Ovis aries: one gene and its partners. The protein of the gene in region 2 interacts with the protein of the main gene of each other region in a biochemical or structural test. Links are inferred from orthologs where the notes say so. Each region holds a gene or a part of one and is shown on either strand. Other genes may lie near its edges. The genes, in order: TNFSF13B, TNFRSF13B and TNFSF13.

Region 1 (7,702 bases), on a different chromosome or scaffold from region 2:
TGAATGTATTTATTTCCACCAGAAAGCAAAATGATTTTTTTCTGTAGTAATTATTTGTATCCAACTATTTGTCATATTTTAAGTACTTGAGGAAGCCGGTTTTACCTGGATCTGTTTTTAGGTACAGCTACCTTTCTGGAAGGACTGTTGTTTCCATTCTTGGATCATCTAAATCTTTATGAAAGATACTTTTTTCCTCAAAGAAATGGATATGGAAGAGAGTTTCCAAATCAGTTAATTCCTCATAGGACTGTTAAGCCAGAAGTTAAGCTTTCTGAATATCTTTGAGGTTATCAATATAAGAAGCAAGTGGTCATAGAGCGGATGTCTGTTTTACGCTGTGATTCATCAGTGAGATAAACTCCTGACTTTAGTTCTGTTCAAATATCCTCTCTGCCCTCTGCTGAGTGGATGGGTCACGGGACAGAGGACTCATTTTGTTTATTCAGTGTGTCTTAGCTCTGTTGCACGAGAATGCTGGACACTCCAGTTGAGGAAAAGCTGCCGCTGCTGCTGCTAAGTCGCTTCAGTCGTGTCCGACTCTTGCGACCCCATAGATGGCAGCCCACCAGGCTCCCCTGTCCCTGGGATTCTCTGGGCAAGAACACTGGAGTGGGTTGCCATTTCCTTCTCCAATGCATGAAAGTGAAAAGTCAAAGTGAAGTCACTCAGTCGTGTCCAACTCTTTGCGACCCCATGGACTGCAGCCCACCAGGCTCCTCCGTCCATGGGATTTTCCAGGCAAGAGGAAAAGAAGTGGGTGAAAGGAATTGAATCACGGCAGAGAAGTCTTGGCTCAGCCCCAGCCCTGAACCAGCGTGACTGTGACCAGCGAGTCAATGACTACAATCTGTTGGGCAGATTTTCGGTTAATTTACTGCCACACCCTTTCCTCTGCAGGAAACACGTCCTAGACTGATGGAGTAATAGCTTCCTTTTGCTCCTCTAGTAAGAAATTCGAGAGCACACGAACGCCAGCTTCCTTTTCTACCTGTTTTCTGAGAAACCGAATTGTGCCATGGGCGTGGGGACCTCACCTGCCCGTGTCCCGGGCAGGGCCCTCCCCCTTCTGCCTTTGGAGGGAGGAGCTCTCGCTGGGGCCGCCCACTGGTGGTCCAGGACCGCCTGGGATGCAGGCAGACCGCTCATGGTTCTCTTTCCGAAGAGCAGCTGAAGGCAAAGCTAACTTCTCATAGGAAAGTCTTCCCTTTCTTTTCTGAACTTTTACTGCAGAACACAGAGAGAAGTGGCCTGTCAGAACGGGAAGGATGCCCACCCACAGAAAGACACTGCGGGTGTCCAGGGTGAAAAAGAGAGAACTCGGCTTCCAGCACTGCCTTCAATTCTTTTGTTTTTCTATGTGCTTAGGTATTATGAATGTGTGGTAAGTTGCTTCAGTCGTGTCCGACTCTTTGAGACCCTATAGACAGTAGCCTGCTAGGCTCCTCTGTCCATGTCCTTCTCCAGGGGATCCTCCCAACCCAGGCGAGTTCTTGACCACTAGCACCACCTGGGAATACACACCCATATAATCTGGGTGAGTTCCAATTACTTTCAGTCAGAAAGTAATCCCCAAACTAATCCTCTTTTGAAAAACTGAACAAAGGTCCATCTAGTCAAGGCTATGGTTTTTCCAGTGGTCATGTATGGATGTGAGAGTTGGACTGTGAAGAAAGCTGAGTGCCAAAGAATTGATGCTTTTGAACTGTGGTGTTGGAGAAGACTCTTGAGAGTCCCTTGGACTGCAAGGAGATCCAACCAGTCCATCCTAAGGGAGATCAGCCCTGGGTGTTCATTGGAAGGACTGATGCTGAAGCTGAAACTCCAATACTTTTGCCACCTCATGCGAAGAGTTGACTCATTAGAAAAGACTCTGATGCTGGGAGGAGTTGGGGGCAGGAGGAGAAGGGGACGACAGAGGATGAGATGACTGGATGGCATCACCGACTTGATGCACGTGGGTCTGGGTGGACTCCGGGAGTTGGTGATGGACAGGGAGGCCTGGCATGCTGCAGTCCATAGGGTCGCAAAGAGTCGGACATGACTGAGTGACTGAACTGAACTGAAAAACTGAACTGTTACCTGGTGTGTTTTGTCCTGATTGACTGGAAACAAGCACTGTCAGGAAGCTTGTGTTCCACAAAAGATTCTGCACACCCACTGACAGATGACGACTCCCACCAGCGAAATGGGACCAAGGGAATCACTGAAACACTTTTTCATTTTTTTAAACAGAAAAATATTTTTAAAAGTCATTTTTAAAGGTCTTGGAGCTTGCAGGTGCAAAGGGGAAAAAAAAAAAAAAACAATCCCAATAGATAAAAATGAATAAGGCTGATGACATGACACTTAGTGAGACACGGAGGAAGCATGCAGTCCTGGCAGGTAACTCGGAGACACCTGGTCAAGGTGAGCACAGGCCTTTTCTCCAGCAGGTGGGTGCCCGCGAAGCCCTTGCAAAGACGTCCATTGCGGCAATAATGAACATATTACAATTGAATAAGTGAAACATTCTGTTCATAAAATGAATGAATAGATTCCACATAATGAATGAATGGGATGAATGGAAATGGAAGCATCTTCAGGGCAGCTTGCTCCACATTCCCGGGAGTCTTGTCAGGATTCTCAGGGACAGTTATCACCCACCCAGAGAGGACACTGACTCACAGGCCACACCATGTCCAACAAGGGAGACTTGAAGGCCAAGCCCCTCTGGGTGGAGCCGCATCCACCCAGGTTGGGTCATATGTTCGACTGGCTCGAGTGGGCCTAATGGGGAAGAGCAGATAAGCTGCTCTAGGAAGAGAGCAGTTAATGAGGGTTCCGGGGACACCAAGAGCCAGAGAAGGTCGCTTCTTTCCCAACCAGTGTGCTGGGGACTTGCAGCTCCAGAAGTGGGGACCGCAGAGGTGGGAGGGTCCTGGAGCCTGGCCCGCCCCTGAATGGCTGACTCCCAGCCTCCCAGGATCCCAGAGTCCCTGGAGGAAGACCTCAGATTTCTCTTGGAAACTGCACCCACCCACGTATAAAAGCTACCCCCCCCCCCAACCCTCCACCTCCCACCCACCCCCCCCCCCCCCCCCCCCCCCCCCCCCGCGAAGCTGATCTAAACAGTTCTCCAGAATGCAAGAACATTCTTTTTATCACATCACCAAGACGATAATGGAGCAGAGTGCCTTCCAGCGGACCTCTGCGCCTCCTTTGAGGACACTTCATTTTATTTCCTACTTAAAGACTGTTCGTAAATCACTCTCCAGGGGTGCCCGGTTCACTGCTGAAGCACTTAGCTTATCTGACCTTCACATGGATTATCTTGATCACATTTAGCAGGAGTTTATTCCTGTTCTTTCCCGCTTCCCTACAAAGCCACGTGGCCCCAAGTGGACCCAGTCCTCTCCTAATGCCTGAGGGGCAGCTCTTCAAACACTTTCCTGTCTTAAAAGCTCCCCAGAGAGTGCTGGTCCGAACTGCCAGTTCCCTCCCCATCAGTAGATCTTCAGGCCGCCCCCGCCCCACCCGGGTCTGTGCATGAGTGTTCTGAGATGCCATTAAAATTCTTACAAAAACTGAAAGTGAAATGAGGAAGACCGATTGAGCAATCGGATAGAAGGGTGAATGCCAGGAAGACCTAGCCTACAGTTGGGGCAAGAGATGCAGCCGCGACAGAGAGGAGAAAATTCAGGAGAACTCGCCCCAGGGCGAGCGCCGCCGGGCTGGGCCGTGTAGTCAAAGTGGGACATCTACAAACCCAGATAACAGGAAATGATCCATTCTCTGTGGTCACTCAGGCTAGGGGCCCCAACCTGCAAAGTTCAAGGAGGGAAATGGATGACTCCACCGGGGAGCAGTCCCGCCTTTCTTGCCCTCAGACCAGAGAAGAAATGAAACTGAAGGAGGGAGGCTCCGTCCTGCCCCAGGAGGAAAGCCCCTCCGGCCGGTGCTCCAAAGATGGAAAGCTGCTGGCCGTGACCCTGCTGCTCGCCGCCTCGTCCAGCTGCCTCACGGTGCTGGCTTTCTGCTGGGTGGCGTCCCTGCAAGCGGAGCTGGGCAGCCTCCGGGCGGAGCTGCGGGGGCGGCCGGGCGCCCCCCAGGCCGGAGCCGCGGCCCCGCGGGAGGCTCCCGGCGTCACCCCCGCCCTGAAAGTGAGTGTGCCGCAGTAGCCGCAGCCCCCCGCCGCCGCCCCCGCCCCAGACCCCGACGCCCCGGCAGTAACGTGGTGGGGCTTTTCTCTTAGCAGCGGATCTTTGCACCCCCAGCTCCGGGAGAAAGCAATTCCAGCCAGAGCGGCAGGAGTAAGCGTGCCCTGCAGGAGGCCGAAGAAACAGGTACGTGTGCGGGGAACAGAAGCGCCCAGGGGTCCGGGCTCCAGGGCTCAGGTGAGGAGGAGAGCATCCTGCCTGGGAGAGGGACGCCGAACAGAAGCCGGAGGCTGGAAAAGGCATCCCAAGCCCGTGTGCCCCCCAGGGCGGAGCCAAGCCCTGGCCAGTGTCCTGGGCTGACCGCGTGTGGCAGCACCTTTTGGGGGCATCCGTCCGTGCCGCGGCGCTTAGAGCACAGAAGAGGGGAGAGGGGCTCACCTCTCCGCTCAAAGAGAGAGCTCGCGCCCACGTCGGGAGCACCGTCTGGCAGTCCCCGGGCGGGGGCGGGGGGGAAGCGCCAGGAGCTAGTCTGGAATGAGGTTTGGTCCAGACGAGGGGCAGACCGCATCTCCGAGGGGCGTAGCTGCTGCGAAACCACGTGGAGACCAGGCAGGTGCACGTTGGTGCTCTATGCGATTTCTTCCCTTTTCAAAAAGAAGCCTATTTTACACACTGGGGCACAGAGATTTTAAAGCTTGTCCTTATTATAATGCTCTTCCAGGAGCTCCGCAGGTTTATAATCTGTAATAGTTCTTCAGTGATTTCTACCTGCTCCAGAGACATCTCAGATTTGGGAGGGGGGACACCCCAAACTTTCAGCCTCAGTTCCTTCCATCCTCCATGTCAAGGATGGAAAAGAGAATTTGCATTGCATTACTAATATTGCAATTTAATAAACCCTTGGTGCTGTTTCCCGTTTATATTACAGGAGCATTTTTTGAACCCCTAGAATGTGCCAGGCAGGCTTGTATGGGGGAGAGGTGTTGTCGTGTCTGTTTCCTTTAACCTTAGTGCTGACTATGAGGCAAACTGATGAGGTGTAATTATTTACCTGTATTTGCACTTTGAAGGAGAGTGCTTGAGAGATAGGTTAGGTGTTCTGTCTGTCTGTCTGTCTCTCTCTCTCTCTCACACACACACACACACACACACACGATGCTCCTTCTGTAAACTTATTTTTCACTAAATGCCTTATTCATGGAAAAAATTCCTCCCTAGTTTTATACGGCAATACATTTTGTATCTGCTTATCATACCCCCATGCCAGTTGTCAGAAACAACTGGGTTTATACATTTTAAAACTGGAAAATGCTCATATTTTTACTATAACATCCTAATTTTCATATTTTGCATTTTGTCATCCATATTTTCTGCATAATTGAAGAAATACGGCACATATACTGTGGCATATTTTTGTGTTGACTTATTGCACAATAAACTTTTTCCTTATTTCTAAGTAATTCTCACATATACTGATTTTATTTGTTGTCTTATAATTATGATCATTTCCATTTTTTTTTGGTAGAATGGAACATGTCAAAATTTTTGCGCAAATCTCTTTGTTTCTGAGGAATTCTATGCATACACTCAATGTGAATTCCGTAGATAGAATGTCTGAGCCACAGAGGATGGGCATCTTCGTCGCCCTCGCTGCCTGCTGCAGCATCCAGATGGACTATGAATGGATGCAGCAGAGATGCAGTGTGCAAGTGCTTCACAGCCTTACACGCTTTACCTTTAAAGACATATTTTGCCCAGCTCAGTAGGTGAAAAATAGTGCCTCAAATTTAATTTGTGGCTTGCTTACAAATAAGAATTATCTTCTTTTTGCATGTTTTGGTAGCTTCTAATTTTATCCTCTACTAATTTTTATAACTTCCCTCACTCATCTGTCCTATTTTTAAAATAATTTTGAATAAGCTCTGTGTTAGGCATCTTGTTTATCAAAATTTTGATGTAAATGTTTTCACAATATTTTGCTGCTTTTTAGAACTTGTACAGACATCTTACATCTGTATATTTTAATGTGATAGCCTTTTTAAAAATTTTCTGTAAGATACCAAAGTTAAAATACATATTTATCCATAATCTCTTAAAGCAGTTTGCTATTTTTTCTGCTATTTTGACTTTTTTTCTAGTAATTTAGTGTTGTAGTTTGGTATTAAATCCGTTAGTCCTGGAGTTTATTGTGGAGAATCATGTTATACTAGCCTTAACTTCTCCTTTCTTCTCTTACTTTTTCCTTCCAAAGTGTTGCTAAATATCTAAACCAAATTAATTAGACGATTCTTTTTAGTTCATTTGCGTTGAAACATTTACTATATTGTATTGAGTTCCTCATATATAGTTGAATCTATTTTGAGACTGCTTTTTTTCATTGATTTATTATCCGATTTATCTGCATTAAATGTTTTAAGGAATTTTGTAATAAAGTGAGCTTCAATATCTAGTAGGGTGAGAATGCCTCATTCTCCTTCAACCTTGTCTGCTAGTACTCTTGCCTATAAATTTATTATTAAAAATAAACCCTAGCTCGCCTATTCCAAGAGGATATAGACCCATTACAGCAGATTTAAGAAGGAAAAAACTGAGTAAGAAATGAATAACTCCCTAAGTCCCACTTCCCCAAAATATGTTCTATTAATATATTAATATTTTAAAATTTCATCCCATGTGAATGATTTCTCACATTTGTGTGTCTAAGGCATCCAAAAAGGATATACTCACAGAAATTCTTCCCCAAATAACTTTCAATGTTTAGACAATTTGGAGAATAACTGAAAATTCTAACCAATGAATAAGAATCCACCCAGTTTCCATAGCACAGATGTAATCACTATTATCAATATCCTGGTTTATCTCAGATTTTTATAGAACTTTAATGTAGCGTATATATGGTATATATATTATATTTATGTATGTATATCGTGTATATATACAGTACAAACTGCATATATATGTAGAGAATATACATTGTATATTTAGTTACATATGCAGTACTTAGTTACATATATATCTCTATGTTTCTCTCTACATATACTTATAGCATTCATAGATCCCAGAGGAAAAATTTAAAGATGAGAAACTCAATGACAGTTATTATCAGCAAGTCTTGTCAGTAAAATTGACTTGAATGTTCCATCCTTTCAAGCAGAGAAAATGTCCATTTTGCTTAGCACTACTTTAAAATTTGTTTATGTATATACCAAGAAGCTTGTATGAAGCTACATGATTTTCCTTTGTTTTCCGTTTGGTAAGGAATTGAGGAGGTTTGGCAATTGAGGAGGTTCTATGCAGTTTGAATCTATGGAACTTTCTTTGGTTCTTGATTCCATTCTAGTTGTGACTTATTTTAAGTAAAGCTCAAAAGCCTTAGGTTATCCCTTTTAGTTTATATTAGTTATCTATATATGTTTAGATACATTTAATTGGAATTTTATAAAGCCTGTAACTGAGGAAAAATGAATTTTCACATTTTGAATTTATCTATTCAAGAATTTTTAATACCTATGTTAAATATAGAAGTTTAAATTCCACAATAAGGCAGTTTTCCTTATATAGGT
Region 2 (7,600 bases):
AGCACCTCTGAGTCGGGTATGTAAATTGAATCATGAAAATCAGGGCTTTCGCTGCATTTCTAAGAAATGTCCTTTTTTGGATACTCTTGCTTTTGTCTTGCCCCTGGGACTCTCTCAGAGCGGGTTGGGCCTCCAGGCGTGGGGCGGGGGGCAGCGGGGCCGCAGACAGTGCTGGGGAAGTGGTAGCCACCAGGCCCCGGGGGGCTGACACCACTCTAGGGGCTGGGACCTCAGGGCCCAAACCTCACACGCACATGTGGACAGTGGAGCCATCTTGCTGGAACATTCCGTCTGGCTGAGTAATTCCACCTAAGGAACTCAAGCCTTAGCAGGAGACACAGAAAAGGTAAAACACGCGTGCAAGGAAGGCGGGGACATTTAGAACAGAGCGTGCAGAGCTGTTTTATTTTTCTGGATGAGCACAGAAGAGCTTATCTAAAAAGACAAGGACTTGACTGATAAGATGTATTAAGTGGGGAAAGGACCCTGTTAACAGTGTTTAATCTGAAAGAACAAAATGTGTGGGGGGTGATGAGGCAAAATCCATCAGCTAGTGAAACGTGCATCCAGGTTCTGGCAGAGGCCAAGAGGCCAGATCAGCTCACTGGCTGTGGCAGAGCCTCCTGTTCTACCTGGCAGGAGGCCCTTCCTGCACAGGCTCGTTTCTCTTTACCATGTCCTGTTTAACTGTTTAAGAACATAGTGGAGTGGAACGAGCTCCAAACCCTGAGGTTACCCTGTCTTTGCTCCAGTTCTAGGACTCTCACATCCCCTTGATGGCGGAGCTTAAAATTAGAATGCCGAGTCTCCCCTGAGACACTGAGAAAGGGCTGCTTTCAGAATGAGAAGCAGAAATCTGGGCACCTGCTCTGAGGGCTCCTGGCACAAGGAGAGTCACACAGGGGTGCAGTTCCTGCTTGGGAGGTGACAGTCCCTGCTGGGGGGAGTCACTCAGGGGGGCAGTTCCCGGTGGGGGGGAAGTCACACAGGGGGGCAGTTCCTGCTAGGGGGGTAGTTCCTGCTGGGGAGGAGTCACACAGGGGGCAGTTCCTGCTTGGGAGGTGACAGTCCCTGCTGGGGGAGTCACTCAGGGGGGCAGTTCCTGGTGGGGGGAAGTCACACAGGGGGGCAGTTCCTGCTAGGGGGGTAGTTCCTGCTGGGGAGGACTCACACAGGGGGCAGTTCCTGCTGAGGGGGGCAGTTCCTGCTGGGCAGGAGTCACACAGGGGGCAGTTCCTACTGGGAGGGTGTAATTCCTGCTGGGGAGGACTCACACAGGGGGCAGTTCCTGCTGGGGGGGCAGTTCCTGCTGGGGAGGACTCACACAGGGGGCAGTTCCTGCTGGGGAGGACTCACACAGGGGGCAGTTCCTGCTGGGGAGGAGTCACACAGGGGGCAGTTCCTGCTGGGAGGGCAGTTCCTGCTGGGGGGAATCACACAGAGGGGTAGTCCCAGCTTGGGGGTGACAGTCTCCTCTGGGGGCAGTCACACAGTGGGGTAGTTCCTTCTGCGGGGGGCTGTGGTAGGGGAGGGGTCCCACGGGCTGCCGTCCTATGTGAGCTTCATGTTCATTGTTTGGGCAGAAGGAAATGAAGCTCCCTGAGATTCCCAAAGGCCCCCAGCTTGTTCTGTCTGGTGTAATAGAATCTAACCTTGAGCAAAGAGGCTGGAAGAAAGAAGTGGCGATCCTATTTGTAGGTTCCCTGCCCAGGAGCAGACATGATGAGTCTGTGGTAGCATCCGAATGCTGGCTATTCTGGGCGAGGGGGCTGCTGCCTGTGACGGGGAGGGAGGCCTTCTGGGGGCTGCAAACATTTCAGATCTGGATCTGGGGAGCATTCCCTGGGTTTGCCCCCTTGTAAGTAGTTGCTGGCCTGCCTGCTGAGAATACTGTATTTTACTGCGTGTAAATGACACCTCCAATTAAAGAAAAGAGAGTCAACAAAACTCATTGCTTGTAAACAGTGTTTGAACAAAAGCATTAACAAGCTGTGATCAGTAGTAACACTGGTGGTTGGGGTACCTGAGACTTCAGCTCTCATTGCCCAGAACCAGGGTGGATCTCGTTTTTCATTTCATGCATAACTTTGCTGATGTTAGAACTCCAAAGGATGAGACCGTGTGTGGCCATAGAGACAGCAGTCGGTGCAACGGGTCTGTTCCTGGAGGCACCATCTGCTCACTCCTGGGAGCCAGCTTCTCTGTGAGGTGGTGAGAGCCCCAGCCCTGGGGGTGCGCAAGTGGGTGAGGAGGCCTGCTTGTCTTTGTTTCACTGAAAGGTCTCTTACTGCAAGAATCAGGCTGCAAACAATTCTTTTTAACTCGACCATCAGTCTTAACAGTCTCCACAACCTCGGTACAGACTTGTCTCACTGTTTATGATGGCTGCGTTGCGTTCCAGGCTGTGCCTGTGAGCCTTGTGTGCTTGGCCATCGCTGCCTGGTGGGTACTGGCACTGTTTCCACAACAACCGTGCTCTGCTGGGCACGCTTTGTGGGTGCCTGTGGCCCCTGGAGAAGAGCTCCTGGTTCATGGGTCAGGCATAGGTTCTCCATGTTACCTGATGTGGACATCCACATCAGAGGTATCGGTGTTGCCATCCACACAGAGGTACCAACACACTTGCACGGGCCGGGGCTTGTGCCTCCCCAGATTTCCTCCACTCTCCATGTCAGCACACTTTAAGACTTTGTCATCTGGGGGGATGAAAAGTGACGCTGACAGGGCTGCAGTGCTCGTCCCAGACGCTGAGCCCTGAGAACCACCCTGAGGCCTGACGGTGCACTCAGCCCCTTCTCATCCCCACCTGTGACCTGTGAACCAGGGGCTGCCTTTACACCCACTTCACAGAAGGGGAAACGGAGGCACAGATAAGTTAAGTACTAAATTGCCACCATGGCTTCCTGCTGGGATGTGGCTGAGCCAAGACTCCAGCCCAGTCTGTTCGTCTCTAGTTCAGCCTCACGACTGCCTGGCTAGGAGTCAGGTCTGGGGTTGGGAAGCACAGAGAATCATAATTCACCTGGCCTGGGGGCAGTCAGGGATGACTTCCTGAAGGAGGTGGGCCTGAAGAAGGAAGAGGAGGAGATGACTGGGCAATGAAAGAGAACAGGGTTGCTGAGAAAGAGGGCTGGGCCACCTGCTGCAGCCTGGCATGTGCAGTGCACCCAGGGGCTCGGCAGAGAGCACTCAGGGCTCCTGGAGCGTCAGGCGAGTCCACCCCCTTGGCCGAGACAGACAGCGCAGGTGCGGCAGGAGGCAGCCGCTGATTTACATCCTATAGGTGGGGGGAAAACCCAGGAAGTGCAGCCGGGCACTAACCAAATCTGGGCTAAGAATAAACGTCCTGAGTAATGAGTGGCCTGGGCCGGAGAAGGCAAGGTGGCCGCAGCCAGGAGGAGCCGAGTAAGTAGCCGGGAAGGCGGTGCGGGGAGGGGAGGGGCATGAGGGGGTTTGGCTGGGGGCTCTGTGTGGCCTTGGGGGTGCAAAGGGAATGGCACCTATGGAAGATGGATGAGCTCGGGCCCCCCCGGGACTTCCTACCCTCCTGCACGTGGAGTGCCCAGAGACTGGGGGCCCAGGGTGGGGGCTGGCCTTGCTTTCCAGGGGAGCAGCCACGAGGCTGGAGGGTCAGCCACACGGGCACGAAGTCCCTCTACTGCCCAGGACCCAGAGCCGGGTGGGCCAGGACACTTTTAAGACATTCTATGTTGAAGTAGACACACGCAAAAGTAGGAGAGCTTAAGGAGCCTCCCACAGACATGACCCAGCGTGCGCTTTCCAGGACCCTTGGGCCCTGCCAGGGCCTTCAAAGGCCATCACAGTTTTGATCTGTAAATACCTCCGGATCTCTCTCTTAAAAACAAAACCCCAAAGGCCCTCACGCCAGGACGACTTCTGCAAAGAATGGTTCCTCGGTGTCACCAAGCGCCTGGGTTCACACTGCCTGGCTGTCTTGTGTCTTTTCCAGCTGGTTTGTTCAAGTCAGGACCCAGTCGCCATCCTTCTGGTTACACGTTTTAATCTAGAACATTCCCATCATGCCTCATGTTTTCCCTTGCTGCTTTTCTTTAATCAAAGAAACCAGATCATTTATCCTGTAGAATTGTTATCAGGGGAGGTTTTGAAGGTTTGTTCAAAGGCCAAAGCAGAAGGCAGCACCCAGGTCGGGCCAGGCTGTTCCATCCTCACACGCCATGCAGGGAGCACAGCCGTTCCGTGATTCTCTTTGTGGGGAGCAAACACATCCCAAGACGTGTCCCCAGCTACGGCTCGAATATACAAGACTCCTGGGATAGCTGGACCAGGCAGGGACCAGGGGTCGCTTTGACAGGGTGGACCCCTCAGGTCCACAAGTCAGGAGCCTGCCAGATCTGGGCCTGGCACTGCCAGAGCCTGCAGGAGCAGCAGAGTCGGGCCTGGCTTCCCTAGTCCACTGACCCGCTGTGTTGCTAATTATAAGTCCTTAGGAAAGCCTGTATATTTGCCTGGGAAAAAAACGTTCTAAATGATCTAACCCACCTGTTTGGTAGAAGTGGTAAAACCCCAAAGGACATTAAAGAAAGTAGAGATATTCTGCAGGATTAAGGGGTGGGACTTCCTAGGTGGTCCAGTGGTTAAGATTTCCCCTCCCAACTCAGGGGGTCGGGTTTGATGCCTGGTCGGGGGTTAGGATCTCACCCTGGAGGACCCCCTTCACCTCTCTGGGCTCCTCTTCCTCGGTTGTAAAACAAAGGTCTGCCTCTGCCCTATCAGATATCCCTGAGAAAATGCAGCCGGGCCCTGAACCCACCAGAGCCCCATCTGAAGGGCCACAGGCGAAGGCTCTGAGAAGGACTGCAGCTGGAAACAACAAAACTAAACTGACTTTCCTTAGCCCAGCATTTTTCAAACTAACTTGACCACAGGGGCCTTTCTTGGTCCAGTGCCTATGAGGCCAGGCGAGTGAGGGAGACTGCAGACAGCTGGGGAGCACAGGAGCCCAGGCCTGCAAGAGCCCTCCCTCCTTCCCTATCCTGCCAGCCAGGAACAATCTAGGGTGTCTCCTGCCCTTCTTTGGGGCTGAGGATGGTTCTGGAACCTTACGTAGGTCCCGGGGGTGGAGGAGGAGTGCGCAGGGACAGCGCCCTTTGGTCAGCTGGGCGGCTGTCATCTGGCCCAGTGGCTCAGAGCCTCTCAACCATGAGTGGGTCTAGGTGGCTCCCATCTACCTCTGTCCACCAGCCATCACCTCCCAGAGGGCTGGGGGGTGGCTGGTGTCCCCCTCCCTTCTCCCCAGATGAAGGAAGGACCATTAGGAGTCTCCCTTCAATTCTGTTTGGCCCTTTTGCTTTTTAACTAATGCATAATTGATTTACAATGTTTGTGTTAATTACTGCTGTATCGCAAAATGACTGTGGATATTACAAGGATACTGAATATAGTTCCCTATGCTATAGAGTAGGATCTTGTTGTTTATCTACTTTGTACAGAGTAGTGTGTATCTGCTAACCCCAAGCCCCTAGTTTAGGTCCTTTGCTTCATGAATAGATGCCAGTCCCAGGTTGGGAGCCCAGAAAGTATAAAAGGTACAGAACACAGCCTTCCTCTCCTCCAGGTCCTCCATCTGCCCAGTTTTCCTGTCTCCTGCAATAAACAGCTTTCTTAAGAGAATTTACATGACATAAAGTTCACCAGTTTAAAATCTACAACTCAGTGTTTTCAGTATATTTAGAGTTGTGCAACATCTCTACCATCTAATTTTAGAGCATTTTCATCACGCCACAGTCCTCCCCACCCCCAGCCCTAGGCTACCACTGTCTCTAAATTTGCCTATTTTGGATATTTTCTAAAAATGGAATGTGCTGTTTGATGACTGGCTTCTTCCACAAGCACAGTGATTTTGAGGTTCATCCATGTGGCAGGGTGTCAGTGCTTCACACCTTTTTATTGCCAAGTAACATTCCATTGTACGGGTGGGCCGCATCACTCATGACTCCTGGTAGCACTAGTGGTAAAGAATCTGCCTGCAACGCAGGAGATGCAATGGACACAGGGTTGATCCCTGGGTCAGGAAGATCCCCTGGAGGAGGACATGGCGACCCACATCAGTATTCTTGCCTGGAAAATTCCACGGACAGAGGAGCTTGATGGGCTACAGTCCATGGGGTTGTAAAGTGTCTGACATGACAGAGCACACACTCCTACATTACGATGGCAGTTCTGTGTTTAACATTCTGAGGAACTGCCAGACTGTCTTCCAAAGTGGCTGCACTGTTTTCAAGATCCTGCTGAACACACAAGAGTTCGTTCCTCCCTATCTTCCCTAACACTTGTCCGTACATTCATTTCCACCGTCCCAGCAGGTGGCTCAGCTCGGTTTTGGTTGTTTCCCTGATGACAAATGCTGTTCAGCATCTTCCCATGTGCTTATTAGCCATTCAGACAGCTTTTTGGGAAAATGTCTCGTTAACTCCCAAACCCATTTTTAAACTGGGTTATTTGTCTTTTCATTATTCAGTTGCAAAAGTTTTTGCCTATAATCTGGATACAAATCCCTTATCAGATACTCAATTTGCAAATATTTCCTCCAAGTCCGTGAACCATTTTTGATTTTCTTGATGGTGTTCTGTGAAACACAAAAGTTTAACATTTTTATTAAGCCTTATCTCTCAATCTTCTCTTTAACCATTTGTGCATCTGGTCTCACTGCCCAGCCCCAAAGCATGAAGACTTACTCCTGTTTTCTTCTAAAAGTTGTCTAGTTACATTTAGGTCTATGATCCACGGTGAGTTACTTTCTGGTGTGAGGCAGAGGTCCACATTCAGTCTTATGAAAGTGGCTATCCAGCTGTCTCAGCACTATGTGTTGAAAAGACTATACTTTCTCCTGTTGAATCTTCTTGTTACTCTTGTTGAAAACTAACTGACTGTAAATGCTCGGCTTTAGTTTGCGATTCTATTTCGTTGACCCATGTCTGTCCTTCTGCCAGCACCACACTGTCTTATTTACAGCTGGTTAGTAGTACATTTTAAAATTGGGAAGTGTGAGTCCTCTAAATTTGCTCTCTTTGAAGAGTGTTTCAGCTCTTTTGGGTCTCCTGCGTTTCCATATGATTTTAGGGGATCAGCTTGTCATATTTTGCAGAAAAGCTATCTGGGAATTCGACTGGGATTGCATTGAATCTGTAGAATAATTTCAAGAATATTGCTATCTTACCACTATTAAGCCTTTCCATCTATGCATGTGGGATATCTTTCCATTTAACTAGGTCTTCAGGAATGTTTTGTAGTTTTCAATGTACAAATTTTGCACTTCTTTCATTCAATGTATTCTTAACTATTTTACCTAAATCACTGTTTTTGGTTTCCTGTTTCCTTACAGTGTTTCTTTATGTACATACCCATAAATGTAGATTAGAACTTTCTCCCTTTTTTGCAAAAAGAAAGAGAAGAAGGGAGCCTATAAGCCATGCTGTTATGGAACTTGTTTTTTTTTTTTTTTTTCTCCACTTACTATATCTTAGAATTCTTTCCAGAGCAATAGAGAGAGAGCGTCCTCACTCCTCCTCTTCAGCAGCATCACAATCAGTGCCTCAGTGGATGCACCGTGCAGGAACAA
Region 3 (7,769 bases), about 7.7 Mb from region 2:
GTCTTATTTATTCTTTATTTTTAAATTTTGGGCAGGGCTTGCGCAGAAAGGAGAGATCAGAGGAGTGAGTCAGGATCAGGACTGGGGCGTATGATTTAGCCAAGGCGACCCGGCCTGCCGGGCCACGATAGTGGACAGAGTGAAAGCAAAACTTGGGACCTGAAGAGTAATGGTGTGGTTGAAAGGGGGCCGTCGGCATCAGGCACCCTCTGCAGACCGGCGCCTAACAATTAACACCTCTGGAGATAGTGATGGAAACTGGAGTCCAGTAGATAGAGAGCGAAGTGAGGATGGGGTTTCTTGTAGGTGGAGAGGCAGAGGGTACCTAAAGAGAGGTGTGGTGTAAAGCACCAGGAGTTTGAGCGGAGGAAGAACTCGTGGACATTTGCCAACCGAGAGGATGGTTGTCTCAAACCGCCGCTAGATGGTGGTGCTGTTCTGGAAGCATTCCAGTGGGACCCAAAGGAAGTCTAGACAAAGCCTGGCATTTCCCACCCCCAACCCTACCCGACTCCCTCAAGAATTTGGGGCTGGAGAATAAGAAGAAGCTATTCTACCTCTTTAATATCCGTGAATTCAAAGTCCTGGGGGTGAGGGTGGGAACAAGGGAGAGTCATGAGCTGTCAAACCTGGGGGCAGAGGCAGGCCTCTGTTCCTGACTATTCCCTGTCCTTTGTCTAATCAGCTCTTGGCCGTCTCCAAAGTGTACCCACCCTGGTCTTCCAAGCTCAGAACTACCTTTTACAACACAGTCACAGTTTCACAAGCCCCAGGAAGGTTCCATGTGGAGAGAGGCTAAGTTTGGCCCTTGCCCGAGGGATTATAACACTCAAGATATCCCCGTGGTGTAAATGGAAGACACCTGAGAAAGGGGAGAAAACAGATGCTCAGTGAAGCACAGCCATACAGATAATCTGATGTTTCCCCTCCCTTATCCAGCTCAACGTTATGTTTGTCTCCTGTAAGGACTACCACATTCTGTCCATTCCTCACCTCCGCCTCTACACCCCAGCTTCCAAGCCCCTGCCATAGCTCCCCTACTTGTTGCCCCAGGTCAGGCATCTGCTCCCCTCATAACCACCCTGCACCGCCCACCCACCTCTCACCTGCACTGTAGCAGCTGTTGTAGGCCCAGTCAGGGTTGGAGGGCATGCTTTGTATGCATCGGAATAGAGTCTCTTGCCTTCCTTGTCCCTCCCGAGATACCATCTGACCCATGGTGAAAGTCTCATCATGAAACAGGACCTGACAGGGAAGGGAGGGGATGCTGAATAAAGTGGGCTGGCATGGCTCGGGTCCGGGCAGCCTCAGGAGCCCTGACAAAGGAGCCAAGGAATGAAGAAGGGCCCTCTAAGTGGGGTATGGATAGGGGTTAAACCTCAGTGCTGGGGCACAAGGCTTTGGGAAAACAGACCTCCAGGCCCTCAGGTGAGGCTCAGAGGATATTTGGGGTTACCTGGCTGTACAGCAGATAAACTCCAGCATCCCAGACTCGAACAACATATCCTTGGGCCTCCAAGCCTCGCCCACGCTGGAGAGCTGGTTGCCACATCACCTCTGTCACATCAGAGTCCTCTGGAGGCAAAGAATGTGGCAGTGAGGATTTCTGTGCACACTCAGACACTTATTCTCTAAGGTTCTCTTTGGCTGATGTGCCAGTCCCACACTTCCTAGATCTTGCCCCCGACCCCAAAGCCATGATTGGAAATAGTGCTCACCCTTGGAGGTGATGTTAATGGGAACAAGATGCAGAACTGAGCGCTTCTCTGGGGAAAGAGGGAGGAGATCTCAGCAGTTGCACGACTGTCAGCCCTCCACCCTCGCCCTGGCTCAGGGTTGCAGTCTCCAGATCCCCCTGCTGTGGATCACCTCCCACCCCTGCTGCACCCCGGAGGCCTCACTCTTCTGTTTACGGGTGAGCACTGCTCTCCTTCTCCGGGATCTCTCCCCATTCTCCCAGCCTTCTGTGCCATCAGGGCTCTGCTTGTGGAAAGAGGGTCAGGGTTAGGCTAAGATGCAAGGGTCCCAGGAAAGCCTTTCCCCACCCCCACCCCCCACCTCCCACCTGCCCCAGGAATGCCTCACATCTCTCCTGCACCTTTCCCCAGCAACCTGAGTCTGGGTACTGGCTCTCCTCCAGAATCTGTTAGGTATGAAAAGCATTAATCTTTAACAATTTCCTTTCCTGGAATGCTTGCTCCCTTGACCTCCAAACCCTGGGACCCTCTCTTGCACCCATTCCAAACTTTGCCGACCAAGCTGCTAGAACTGAGAAACCCAGAGACCACCCTGCCACGCATCCTTTTCTGCCAGACATGCTTCTCCCCTCACTCACCTGCTCCTGGAGATTCAGCCATGGATTCCCTTCCCGCTTCTCGGAGGGCCCTCCGTTCCTCTGCAGCCGGGTCACCTCTCTCCTTAAGGTCTGCAGCTCGGTTTGTTGGGTCAGCAGAACCATGGCACAAGCCACAGCCCCCAGAGCCGCCCCCCAACTCAACCAGAGGGCAACTGAGAGTGCTGGCTCTCGGACGGGTCCCCCCATGTCTTCCTGGGGCCCTTTGGGGCTTAGGAAGGAAGGAGATGAGGCAGGCATGAGCTGGGGACCCTGCCAACAGCTGTGGTCTCAGGAGTGGGATGGCAAGGAGGTGACGGGGAGGGTGGGGGTGCAGGCAGTGGTGCAGAAGGGAAGAAGGGCGTTACGCAAGGGAGGAATAAAAAGGAACTTGAGAATAAAAAGAAGGGAGGCGGGAAGCAAGCTGGGGCACTGCTGGTGCTCTTGGCACCCTGCTGCGGGGCCAGCACTATCCCGAGACCCCTCACCTCCTCCAGCCTCAGGAGAATTTGGTGTTAGTCTCTCTAGGAAGGACAGGGCTCCCAGTGACACCCAGGAGGAGCGGCCAGAGCGCAGGAACCCCGGGGCGGCCCCAGAAGTGGGGGAGGGAAGGTTGGCTGGCTCTGGGGCATGGTGCCAGGAGCCGGGATGGAGAGACATGCTGGGCAGCACCGAGGGTCAAGGGTGGAGAGTGGAAGACCCTCGCGCCTTGGCACAGGTGAGATTTCCGGGGCAGTCCGCTCACCGTGACTGAAGGTGGGCGAGGAGGGGAGGAGAGGGGGTTAGTGGGGAGGAGAACCAGGGTCGGGGAAGCAAGGAACTGGCTGAGTTCCGGGGTTAAGGCCAGGCCGGGTGTGTTGGAAGAAGGCCTGCACTACTCTCTGCTGAACTTGGCAAGCGGGACTTCCTGTTTCCCCAGAAACGCTCTTACATAAGGCTCTGGACAAATGAGAAAGAGACAGCCAGAGCGCCCCACCACTGTAGGACTCCTGCCTGGACCCTGGGGCGCAGCTTCCCGTGTCCCTGGGCCCTAGTGTCCCACTTCCTGACCCTGAGCCCCCACGTCGCGCCTGCTTCCCTGCCCACCCCCCGCTTCCCCCCTCCCTGCGCCAAATACCAGCTCAGACTGGTGCCAGCACCTGCTGCAGGTGCCCAGGCTGCCAACAGGAAGGGCCGCTGCCCTCCCAGCCCAGGGATTCCCCACAGGAGGAAGCCCGCCTCCTAGGTAAATCAGGCCACTTCTGCTGGACCTTGGGCAGAGAATTGATTTTTTTTTCCCCTGGCAGTTTGCCTTTTGATTCTCTTCTCCTGCCTGGGGTTTCAAGGCACGTAGGTCTCCATGCCCAAGCCTGGATGTCGTCCTGGAATTCCAGGTGACCGTCTTCCCCCACCCCCCACCTCCCAGACCCCCACCTTCCATTGGCCCTCAGCTACCCTGAGGATATCCCCTAAGCCCCAATAAAGACAGCAACCATGACATATTCTCTTTAATATCCACTTATCAACATTTAGTCCCAATAATAATAAAAATAATATCTGTTTTAAAAATCCACAGGGAATTATCAGGGGAGGAGCCTGTCCTGGTCTCTGACCCCTCACATTCGGGAACTCCTGGCCTAGTCCCAGTCTCTCTGGCATCTGGCCCCTCTTAGTGGCTGAAGAGGGGGTATGCACGACCCATCATCACCCAGAGTACAGTAAACACAGTGTCCTGGGGGGCTGCAGCCAGGGTTGGGGAGTCAGGAGATAAATGGGGCTGGGGAGCTAGTGAGGTGGAGAGCTGGAGGTGGGGAGAGCTGTCAGCGAGGCTGGGAATATTTGAGTGGCACGGACATCACGTGAGCCCTGGCAGCCTTCCGGGGGTAGAGGCAGGTCTGGGGGAGGAGCAGCTCAGGGTGGGACAGAGGGGACAGGGGTGCTCAGAGAGCGGCCGTGGGGACAAGCCACCTGGAAACCGGGGCCCTTCAGTGAACTTGGAAGAGTCCAAAGTAGGTGAGGAAGGGGGCAGCCTTGAGTTGGGTCTGGGGGAGGGTGCGGATCCGCAGGGAGGACCCTCGCCGCAGGCGCAAGAGCCCTGACACCTGGCAGAGACGGAGCTGGGGCCCAGGGGAACTGGCCGCAGTGGCCGAGAATTCCTCCAGGCAGCGCAGGGCCAGCGTGTCATCCACCAGCAAGTCCAGCTTCAGGTAGACAGCCTTCCCCTCATCAAAGTGCACCTGGGGAGGCAGGGGAGGGGCAGAGTTCAGGGTCTGCTGGCCCTCGGCTTCATCTCAGGTGTCCTGAGAGGCCCAAGGCTCCTCTCAGCCCAAACCCCACGCTCCCCCTCCCCACCTTTAACTTGCCCCCAACCCCGAAGCCCAACCCTTCTCCTTCAGTTCCGGCTTTACCCGTGGAGCCAGGTGGGGCTTACCTGACAGTACAGGTAGTACAGCCCAGCCCGGGTGACCATAAATTGCCCGGTCTGGCAGTCATAGCGCAGGGGGTTGGAGCTGTTGATTTTGGCCTCCTCCCAGCCACTCACCGTCCCGTCCACACCTGAATGTGGGTGTTCAGAGACAGGGGAAATCCCTCTAGAGAACTTTCTCACACTGGCTGATGAGACACTGAGTTTATAAACCTCTGGGCCCACTTTACCCAGAAGATATCTAGGAGGCCCAGGGGAAGGGAAGAGCCGCGGCCTAAGGAGCTGGGAGTGTGATAGGAAGTTAGGGGAAGAAACCCGACATAGAGGACTAGAATGATAGACAGCAAGTTCTCACCAGCTGCTTCTGGAGAGAGGAGTAGGACTCAAGAAGCATGGGGGCTTTTATAGGTTGTGTCTGCACCATTTGCTCTTTTACTTGGAGAAGGTATGGATGCTTTACTTGAATCATATATTCCTTGGGTTATTAAAATTAAAGATAATCAAAAGGGAAAAAGATTAAAAAAAAAAAAACTAATAAAATGGTACCCAAACCTCCATCCATTAATGAATGGATAAGGAAAATCGTGTTAAGTCCATACAATGGGATAAAAAGAAATGGAGTACTAATGCAGGCTACAATGTGGAGGAAACAAGAAAACGCTATGCTAAGTGAAAGAAGCTAGTCACAAAGGATCACATGTTCTATGAATATCCAGGTGGCACAATGGTAAAGAATGTGCATGCCCGTGAAGGAGACTCAAGAGATGGGGGTTCGATCCCTGGGTCTGGAAGATCCCCTGGAGTTGGAAATGGCAACCCACTCCAGTATTCTTGCCTGGAGAATCTCATGGACAGAGGAGCCTGGAGGGCTGCAGTCCATGGGGTCGCAGGGAGTCAGACATGACTAAGTGCCTGAACACGCATGCACATGAAATTTCCAAATAAACAAATACATAGAGACAAAAAGTAGATTAGCAGTTGCTTAGGGCTGGAGGAGATCAGGGAAATACAGTGTGGTGGGTGAAGCGTACAGGGTTTCTTTTTGAGGTCATGAAAACTCTCTAAAATTACTGTAGTGATGGTCATACAATTCTGTGACTATACTAAAAGCTTAACTGTACATTTTAAAAAGGTGAATCGTATAGTATGTGAATTATATCTCAATAAAGCCATTAACAACAACAAAACTAGAGTAAAGGTAATTGCAAGTTGTAAAGAAGACAAAGAATCAAATGACAAAGCAGGGTCTCAAGTGACTTCCCAGCCCTCCATGAGCCACCCCTGTTTACCTCTCAGATCTAATCTCACACATTCCTCCAAGTCACAAGACTCCAGGCCCTCAGGCCCACTTTCTGTTCCTGCCAGGCACCAAGCTCACTGTTTCCACAGGGTTTTTACTGCTCTTCCCTCCCCCTAGGATTCCTCCCTCCCTTTAGTCAGTCTGGTCGCTCTGAGTGACCTCCCCAGGCCTCCCAGTCTGAAATATTAATAGCTAGTCTCCGTTAAACTCTCCACTCACCGCATCTCTCTCATAGCAGTCCCCAAGGACAGAAATCATCTTTATTTCCTTCTGTGATAGTTTGGGGTCTGCCTCCCCCAAGGAGCAGGGGAACTGGTCTGGTTACTGCACCTCAGGCCCTGCAGCTGGGCCTGCTCTGAGCAGACACCAAGCACATGCTGGTGGGAAGAAAACAGAGGAGGAAGAGGCTGTAGGGGCATCTGTCTCTTGTTTGGGTCCACAGGCTGCTCTCCGGGGCTTCCGGCACCTCATCTCGGTAGCCTGGGAAGCTTCCTTCCCGGCACCCCCATCTTCTGCCTGCCCCGGGGCGCTCTCCTGGTTCCTTTCTCAGGAACATAATGCTCACAGGGCATTTTCATCCCTACCTATGGGTTGCCTTGGCTTTTATTTCACAAGACTCCAATCTGAGTCTCCAGCTCTGCCCGTGCCTGCCCTGCCTGACACTGCTACCTGCCTGCCATTAGAGTAACCTCCCCATGCTCCCCACTGCAAACTCACCTAGACCAAAACTGAGCCTGCCCCCCAACCCCAAATTTGCTTGACTGCATTCCACATTGGGCTCCTGGTTCTACCTCTTATCAAGCACCCAAGCCTCTCTCTCCTTCACCAGCTTTATCCACTGATCACCAGTTGCTAGCAAGCCTGCCACCTAAGTAGCTGTCTCCCTCCCCTGTGTGTGTGGACTCGGCCATTTCTCACTGGGACTCTGTTCAGGCTCCTTCCTCTTTAGGCTCCCTGTTTCCACCGGGAGTAAACTGCCTGCTCCAGTTTACTCGCCACACTACACAGAGGCATAGAGTGATGTTTCTCAAATGCAGACGTGAGACTCTTCTGCTTTGACTTCAGAAGAACCTCCAGACTCCAACTGTGACCTGGCTCCATATGCTTCTCCAGCCTCACCCCATCCTGCTCGTCTGGATCTGTCTCCTCCACCACATCGAGCCGCTTGCTCCCCGTCCTCCAGCCTCATCAGACTCTTGGCAAATTCTGGGCTTTTGTACAAGTGGCCCTGCCCCTCTGTCCGTCTTATACTCACACTTGGGTAAGAGCCCATGCCTCCTTGGGAAAGAGTCCCTGACTCCATTGTAAAGTTGTCTTCCTCTGTACTGGCCATGTGTCTCTTGCTACTTTCATTATTATTCTTGTCATATCACATTGTAATTTACAAATTTATATGCTTGCCTCCTCTCCTAGACAGCAGTTCCTTGCAAATAGGTCTGGATATTACTCAGTGTGGGCACCTAGCTGGGTGCATACAAACAGTAGCATCTCAGCTCATGTGTGCTGAGTCAACGAATGAGTAAATGTCTGGGTAACTGCTGAAATAATGGTGCAGAGAGAAGGGAGGAAGGCTGGCCTGAGGCATGAAGAGTAGGGGGAAGAAGGAGAAAGGGCATTCCTGGCTAGGGAACTAGTTTGAGCTCATTGTGGCTAAGGGCATGGTGTGCCTGAGACCATGGTATCACTAAATTTCGTTCTTTACTGCCCGGCAATCACCCTTTTTTCCCTGCTAG

What was found.
Region 1: the proteins of TNFRSF13B (region 2) and TNFSF13B form a complex in vitro, tested with the Homo sapiens proteins (3 studies listed by BioGRID and IntAct, with this or other methods). The link is inferred for Ovis aries from reciprocal best matches to the Homo sapiens genes TNFRSF13B and TNFSF13B.
Region 3: the proteins of TNFRSF13B (region 2) and TNFSF13 form a complex in vitro, tested with the Homo sapiens proteins (2 studies listed by BioGRID and IntAct). The link is inferred for Ovis aries from reciprocal best matches to the Homo sapiens genes TNFRSF13B and TNFSF13.

What each region holds. Positions count from the first base shown.
Region 1 is NC_056063.1:83,014,589-83,022,290, forward strand, and holds the start of TNFSF13B (tumor necrosis factor ligand superfamily member 13B), read left to right. Parts: upstream 1-3,635; 5' UTR 3,636-3,824; coding exon 3,825-4,142; intron 4,143-4,234; coding exon 4,235-4,325; intron 4,326-7,702. UniProt on the Homo sapiens protein: Cytokine that binds to TNFRSF13B/TACI and TNFRSF17/BCMA. TNFSF13/APRIL binds to the same 2 receptors. Together, they form a 2 ligands -2 receptors pathway involved in the stimulation of B- and T-cell function and the regulation of humoral immunity.
Region 2 is NC_056064.1:34,838,568-34,846,167, forward strand, and holds the start of TNFRSF13B (tumor necrosis factor receptor superfamily member 13B), read left to right. Parts: upstream 1-3,348; 5' UTR 3,349-3,353; coding exon 3,354-3,405; intron 3,406-7,600. UniProt on the Homo sapiens protein: Receptor for TNFSF13/APRIL and TNFSF13B/TALL1/BAFF/BLYS that binds both ligands with similar high affinity. Mediates calcineurin-dependent activation of NF-AT, as well as activation of NF-kappa-B and AP-1.
Region 3 is NC_056064.1:27,106,683-27,114,451, reverse strand, and holds the start of TNFSF13 (tumor necrosis factor ligand superfamily member 13), read right to left. Parts: upstream 2,880-7,769; 5' UTR 2,594-2,879; coding exon 2,336-2,593; intron 2,144-2,335; coding exon 2,099-2,143; intron 1,981-2,098; coding exon 1,902-1,980; intron 1,767-1,901; coding exon 1,719-1,766; intron 1,576-1,718; coding exon 1,457-1,575; intron 1,246-1,456; coding exon 1,107-1,245; intron 863-1,106; coding exon 753-862; 3' UTR 739-752; exon of another isoform or gene 326-738; 3' UTR 1-325. Other genes in the region: TNFSF12 (tumor necrosis factor ligand superfamily member 12), read right to left, coding at 4,297-4,548, 4,743-4,867. UniProt on the Homo sapiens protein: Cytokine that binds to TNFRSF13B/TACI and to TNFRSF17/BCMA. Plays a role in the regulation of tumor cell growth. May be involved in monocyte/macrophage-mediated immunological processes.